Linked DNA regions of Danio rerio. The protein of the gene in region 2 binds, or shares a complex with, the protein of the main gene of each other region. Links are inferred from orthologs where the notes say so. Each region holds a gene or a part of one and is shown on either strand. Other genes may lie near its edges.

What was found.
Region 1: the proteins of cct4 (region 2) and pdcl3 are in contact, whole or in part, in a cryo-EM structure (PDB 8I9Q), measured with the Homo sapiens proteins. The link is inferred for Danio rerio from reciprocal best matches to the Homo sapiens genes CCT4 and PDCL3. Residues at the interface, in NP_006421.2 of Homo sapiens: Val266, Gln271, Met272, Leu276, Glu279, Arg280, Leu312, His315; in NP_076970.1 of Homo sapiens: Ala70, Ile71, Tyr74, Arg75, Arg78, Leu79, Trp82, Lys86.

The regions. Positions count from the first base shown.
Region 1 is NC_133184.1:58,526,493-58,530,133, forward strand, and holds the end of pdcl3 (phosducin-like protein 3), read right to left. Parts: coding exon 3,536-3,641; intron 3,389-3,535; coding exon 3,180-3,388; intron 1,530-3,179; coding exon 1,381-1,529; 3' UTR 1,347-1,380; coding exon of another isoform or gene 1,326-1,346; 3' UTR 669-1,325; downstream 1-668. Other genes in the region: nms (neuromedin-S), read left to right, coding at 400-440. UniProt on the Homo sapiens protein: Acts as a chaperone for the angiogenic VEGF receptor KDR/VEGFR2, increasing its abundance by inhibiting its ubiquitination and degradation.
Region 2 is NC_133176.1:57,157,401-57,161,331, forward strand, and holds the start of cct4 (T-complex protein 1 subunit delta), read right to left. Parts: upstream 2,887-3,931; 5' UTR 2,731-2,886; coding exon 2,622-2,730; intron 1,725-2,621; coding exon 1,672-1,724; intron 1,546-1,671; coding exon 1,456-1,545; intron 384-1,455; coding exon 275-383; intron 1-274. UniProt on the Homo sapiens protein: Component of the chaperonin-containing T-complex (TRiC), a molecular chaperone complex that assists the folding of actin, tubulin and other proteins upon ATP hydrolysis.

The DNA.
Region 1 (3,641 bases), on a different chromosome or scaffold from region 2:
AACTCTGTTACCATCAACTCTATTACCGTCAACTCTGTTACTGTTGCCAACTGTTACTGTCGACTGCTGACTCTATTTTCAACTCTGTTAACCGTTATGGTCAACTTTATTACTGTTGCACCTCTGTCACCGTCGAATGTGTTGTTGTTGATTCCTATTATCAATTCTGTTATCATCAACTGTTATTCGTTTAAAAATTAAGTTAAACGATTAGCAACAAACGTTTCCAGTCTTGCATTAGTTCACAATAATAATGGATTAAGTTTACTGTAAATGACACATCTATTATATATCCAGGAAAATGAAGGCACATGGTGTAAATGCACTGCTATTCTGGAGCGAGTCCTGTACTCAGGTATGAGATAATTGTGTAAATGAATGTGTTCTTCTCCTCCACAGACATCCTCTGTTCATATCTGGGATTCTCTCTGACTCCGTAAATCTACAAACATCATGAACAGCACCTGATTTCATTAAAGCTCTTTTAATAAACGTAACCTCATGCTTGCTGCTGTTTTCTCTATTATTGCTGAAGGTCTTCAAGTCCATCGCAGACAGGAGATTGAAGTGAAATGAGCTGAAATTGTTGTTTTTATTTCTGTCCTCGAGCGTCACTTTAGTGGAAATGTGTGTGTGAGAGAGTCATTAACACACAAACACACTGCAAACTCTCTCAAATAAACCACTTTTATATATTAAATGGAGACGAGCGCTGAACTGAAAAAGGCTGCATAATTACAAATCTCATATAAAATAAAGCAAACGCAAACATGGCCACCAGTCTGTTTACTGAGGGCTGGTTTACAAGTGTGTTTCAGACCCACTCCTGCTCTTCTGGATGGCACAGACGTGTGTGTGTGTGTGTGTGTGTGTTATAAACACAAGGGAAGTGTATAATGTCATGGGCACTGCTGGAGAAGGTGAATTGTGAGGACGTACTAAAGTAGTTATATATCTTAAGAAGTACTTATAAATCACACAATGAGGTTTCAGAAGGCAGAACTGCACAGCTTCCTGTAACGGTGAAGTTATAACCTGTAACCTGGGCGCAGGTGAGAGGACATACAGTGTGTACAGTAGAAAAACAATGACAACCTACGGAATGTCCCCACAACTCTTAAAAACAGACCTGCGTGTGAGATTGTGTTGTTGTGTGTGACAGAGTGTATTTGTGTGCAAAAGAGAGAGAGTGTATGTGTGTGTGTACTAGTTTTTATATCCTTGTGGGGACTTAAACCCGAATGCACACAGACTCGTAAGGGACTTGTGTGTGTGTGTGTTCCTCCAACATTAGTCTTCCTCTCTGTCTTGGAGTGTGTCCAGCATCAGTCTTCATCAGAGTCTTCCTCTCCGTGTGTGTGTGTGTGTGTGTGTTCAGCATCAGTCTTCATCAGAGTCTTCCTCTCCGTCTCGGTGTGTGTTTGCCGAGCAGCGAATGGACGTCATCAGCTGATCCTGGATCTGTTTTCTGGGGTTTTCCTCCAGATCTGTCTTCACAGCTCCAGACTCTGACAGACGCCACTCCAGCTCTGCTCAAACACACACACACATATACTCAAGAAGGGAAATAACACACAAACATGATCAATTACCGCAGATATTAACCATATAACCCCAAATATTGACACTTCCTCCACTGCTGCCAACTAGAGTACGTTGCTAAAGGGGGAGCAAACATTGTTAAATGAGGAAGTGACATCATTGTGTGATGACGTCATTACATAATCACAACTCAAAACTGTATTCATGGTATCTACACAATAATGAGTTTCCTCACAGTGACGGGCCATCTCAGCACAACATTATTGGAAATATGAATATAATCATAGGACTGTACTGGCAGGTAATGATTTGGTTGCTGCCAGACGGGCTGCTCTGAGCATTTCAGAAACTGCTGAGCTACTGGGATTTCACAACCATCTCTAGGATTTACAGAGAATGCTCCGACAAAGAGGAAATATCCAGTGAGCGGCAGTTCTGTGGGCGCAAATGCCTTGTTGATGAGGCCAGAGGTCAGAGGAGAATGGCCAGACTGGTTCCAGCTGATAGAAAGACAACAGTAACTCAAATAAGCACTCGCTACAACCGAGCTCTGCAGAAGAGCATCTCTGAACACACAACACGTCCAACCTTGAGGCGGATGGGCTACAGCAGCAGAAGAGCACACCGGGTGCCGCTCCTGTCAGCTAAGAACAGGAAACTGAGGCTACAATTCACACAGACTCACCAAAACTGGACAATAGAAGATTGGAGAAACGTTGCTGCTCTGATGAGTCTCCATTTCTGCTCACACATTCAGATGCTCGGCTCAACAGCATGAAAGCATGGATCATCCTGCCTTGTATCAGCGGTTCAGGCTGGTGGTGGTGGTGTAATGGTGTGGGGGAGATTTTCTTTGGGTCCATTAGTACCAATTGAGCATCAACGCCACAGCCTACCTGAGTATTGCTGCTGACCATGTCCATCCCTTTATGAGCACAGTGTCTCCATCTTCTGATGGCTACTTCCAGCAGGATAACGCAGCATGTCATAAAGCTCAATCATCTCAGACTGGTGTCTTGAACATGACGATGAGTTCACTGTACTCAAATGGCCTCCACAGTCACCAGAGCTCAATCCAATAGAGCAGCTTTGGGATGTGGTGGAACGGGAGATTGGCATCATGGATGTGCAGCCGACAAATCTGCAGCAACTGTGTGATGCTATCATGACAATATGGAGCAAAATCTGAGGAATATTTCCAGCAGCTTGCTGAATCTACACCAAGGATTAAGACAGATCTGAAGGCAAAAGGGGTCCGGTACTAGTAAGGTGTACCTAATAAAGTGGCCGGTGAGTGTAGATGATAATATATATATATGTATATCAGGAAAAAAAACTTTAAATATTTGACTTTGAGCACAATGTGTCAGTACTACAGGAAAGCAGCTTTTTTTCTATTTAAACAGGTGAAATAATCTCCCTGATCTCATTTACACTTTTGGGCTTCCCCCATTGTCAGATTATTCTGCTTGTTTTAAGGAGAAACTCTCTTCATTTTGACTCATTATTTCTGAAAACAACACATTTTTTGCTTGTCTAGAAAAGGCTTCTTGATTTAAGTATGTACAGACATTTGGACTACAAACAAGACAGACAGTAAGTGAGGTGTCTTATTGCTGATCTGTTTATACACTGACCGTCACAGGTGAGGTTCATCCCTCCGAACACCAGCGGGCCGATGAACTGCGCCTTCATCTCTCCGTCGCGGTACACGAACAGCGTGGGCAGGTTGCGGTCGGGGTAGTTGGGGATGCAGGTGCTGGAGATGGACTTCAGGAACTTACTCTGAGGAAACTTGCGGGCCAGTTGAGCCAGATGCTGATTAATGAGCGAACACAGCGGGATCCTGAACCACAACACACACAACAGTCATCTGACGAACGCTTCACTGATTACTCAAACACTGACAATACAGTACAACTCAACTAAACATCAGTGTGTGTGTGTGTGTGTGTGAGTGTGTGTGTGTGTGAGTGTGTGTGAGTGTGTTCACCCTTGTTTGTAGAGGTGCAGCACCACCCAGATTCCCTCTCCAGCTTTATTGACCTCCTGCACGTAATCCTGCCCCGAGATCTCCTTCAGCTCCCCGAAAACATTCT
Region 2 (3,931 bases):
ACCAAGCCCACCAAAAGGGTACCCTTGGTAGTGGAAACACAAGCCTGTTAAAGGTGACCCGTACTGTACCAGTCAGTGGAAACGGGCCATTAGTGGAAACGAGCCAAAAGTGCAAGTTTTTGATGTATATACGATGCTTCTAAATGGAAATTGTCACTAATTTGGAGCACATCAGCGTATTGATATCCTAACATACTGAAACTAACATCTAAACAACATTTAATTTAATTTCACAGGACCTTTAATTATGCACTTAAACAAAACTAAAGCTTACCTTTCTGTAGCAGTTTAGCGCAGGCATCCAGAAGAGCTCCAGCAATCACCACCACTGATGTAGTGCCGTCACCAGCCTCGATATCCTGAGCTTTAGACAGCTCAACCATCTGAAACACCCACAGATATCCCATTACAATGCAGATATTATCAGGATATATACAGAGGGAATCATTTGCAATTTGATTCAATTCTTAAAAGTCAAGACGCAATTCAAAACAAAAGCACTGCTCTCACAATTGAGGTGACTTCTTTTAGTATAACATCATCTCACCTAAAGTCAGTGTGAAATCTGAACTTGCATTGTTTATTTTGCTGGTGCACTTTGTTAATTTTTAGGTAAACAATTAATCCGTTCTAAATGTTTATTTTGGTAATCTTCAATCAAAGTCTGACCATTTGCTTCTGTGTTTGGATTGGCCAATTCTCTGAGGATGTCAGTTTGATGCTTCAGCCAAAATATTCTTAGCCACGCCTCTCTTACTGTTAATTTGCTATGAGCGAATAAAGCTGCTGTCATACTAGAGTTTGTGTGAGCAAAATTCTGTAGTACGGTACTGCAAAAAAGACCGGGATTAAACAAGATGATTAGACATTTAAAAAAGCGAGCGACTGGTCCGTATTTTAAAGTTCTGTCCAGAGAGGTCATGTTTTGATCCTCGATTGGTCTCATGCAGTCAAGTGATGTGATTTCGCAGGTCAGAGTTCGCCAAGCTTAAACTTTCCGATGCAGCAAACTGCAAAACTTGATGCACGAGCTTGCGTTTCCGATCTGACGCATTCAAGTGCATATGAATGAAAGTCTATGGGGAGAAAAGTGCAGTGTGACCGCAGCTTCATGCGAAATAGAAAGCCCCGCCCCCTACTTAATATTCAGTTTCAGATAGAAGTACACCAACATACTGAACTTCTGGCTAACGCAGTTTTTTTTGCCTTCATTTGTAAAGTATTTTTATATTATTATTTTTTTTATCTGTTCATCATTTATTAACTATATTGTCTGTATTTCTGGTATATTTACATTCCTCTTGTAGTGCTTTTGTAATCTGTATCAAAGCATTTATACAAAGCATTATTAATGAACTAACAAGGCCAAGCTCCGTAGAAAGTCTAACAATGTCAATCAAAAACAAACATGTTCAGGTTATTTCACCTAAATAAAGGAAAACAACTGTGATTTACCATTTTGGCTGCGGGATGCAGCACCTGCATCTGTTTGAGGATCGTGGCTCCGTCATTAGTGATGGTGACGTCTCCTTTCCCATCCTGGATCTGCAGAAAACTCAATTATTTACTCAGGCTACAGACAGTACAGTCACTTATATACAATTCAAGTCATGAAATAAATACATATAAAGTCAGGAGATTTAGACAAATAAAAAAAAAAGGCAAACATACCATTTTATCCATGCCCTTAGGGCCCAGACTTGTTCTGATGGCATCTGCGACAGCTGTCAATAGAAAAAGGATTCATCATTAGCCACCAATCCTCACTTGCTGACATTCACTCGTGTCCATACAGCAAAAAATCTTGATAGCAACTGTAATTATCGCAGCAGAGCCTGAAATACTGTTTGGTCATCATACATCTTTAAAAACTAAAAGATAATGCATTTAAAATCAAGTTATTGGCAAAAAAAAAAAAAAAAAACTAAGTACAAGATTTCTACTTAATTTTGTATTTTTCTGTTTATTACAATTTTTAAAATATTTTCCCCAACACGTGCTGTATTTGCTGCACTGATAACAGATGTACTAATATTTGGACTGATAGTTCCCGTTTTTGACTTTGGCACTGACTAAACCAATGGATATGCACAAATATATTATTGTAAGACGTCATATAAAAAATAATATTTTAAAATAGAGACCTGTGAGGGTTTTTATGTGATGTGCTTTAGACACATTTATGCTGAGCACTGATTATATACAATGTATTATTTTATTTTAAGAAGCCTCATTTTCCTTAACAGAAATTGGTGAGATGAACATTTTTTAATTACACTAATAACAATCACACAAATATGCACCAATAACGTACGTTACTTTTTAGTGTAACGTTAGCTACCGTTACATGTGTTGTCATAAAGAAGGCCACACCTTATATGGACTCATGTGAATCTGCATTGTAATAACCAGATTTAACTTCACATCTAATTTCAAAAACATTCACTTCTGCAAAAATCTAAATATTATTATTTTTACAGATACGGCCATGTTTATGACGATATAGCAATTTAATGGGCTCACGCTTCCGCTACATTGTCATGAGGTATACCAGTAAAATAAAACAAGTCCCTGTCAGTGTTTTACAATAAAAACTCCTCCTGAACGATCAGATTTCTCACCTTTCCCAGCGTTTATGTTGCTGTAGCGGATCTGGGCAGGTTTGTCCCGGTCCACATACGCGCTTCCTTTGTTTTTGATCCCGCTTGCAGCCACGACGGCTTCAGGCATGGCTGCTAATATTTATATGGTTTTAATCCGCGGAGATCACAGACGCAGATGGACGGTTCCCGGTGTCTCTAGCACGTCTGTCCGGTACGGATGGCCTCAGATTACGATCCGCTCCGAAAATCTCACGCAGAACCTTCCAGAACCACCGGTCGCGACGGGAACAGAAAAAGGACCCACGTGGCGCGTGATGATGACGTTTGGGGGTGTTTGAAAAACATGCCGCATGCCGATCACGGTTGTGGTGAATAAATGTGTTATAGTGCCTCCGTTACACACATTGATTTACTGCTATTTATAATATATGATTCGTTTAAATGCTCTGGGGTAAATCTAAAGTTCGCTAAACTCTAAATTGTGCTTGTGGACTAATGTTTTGGCGGCTTGTGGAGCGGCCGGTGTTCAGTGACTGAGGGAAGATTTTGAAGGGATTCAGTGAAGGTAATGTGACGTTTGGAAAGGGTTAATGTAGTTAGAGCTATTTGTGTTTGTCATGCACTTATCGTGTAATATAACTGATGTATGCTTCGTGTCTCTAGACAGAGATCTTTTCATAAACATTTGGTTGTAACCATATTATCATATCCCTTATATAATGGTGATTTAACTGTTATTAAGATATTTAACGCCATTGGGAAATATGCACATCTTAAGCTTAAGTGTAGTTTTTTAAATTATTAAATATAATTTAAAATAGCTTGAATGTTGTGTTATGAAAATGAACTAAATACTATTTTCATGTTTAATATGAATATTTAAATTTTCCAAAACTGGTTTTACTATAAAACCACAGGAAAATCATCCAAAACATGTCAAATTAGCATAAATAAAAGCTGTAATATTTGTAAAAGCTTTCACACTAGCACTTCTGGTCCGCACCCGGGTTTGTTTGACGTCATAGTATGGTACGTTTAGCCCAGGGGTCACCAATCTCGGTCCTGGAGGGCCGGTGTCCCAGCAGGGTTTAGCTCCAACTTGCCTCAACACACCTGCCTATATGTTTCAATTATACCTAGTAAGACCTTGATTAGCTTGTTCAGGTGTGTTTGATTAGGGTTGGAGCTAAAATCTGCAGAACACCGGCCCTCCAAACAAGTTTGGTGACCCCTGCGTTTAGCTAGTGTGAACGTGTTTTCTGAACTCGGGTGCGCACCCATGAACCGTACTTGAGTCCCCCTGAAAGAGGTGCTCTGGGGTACAGATG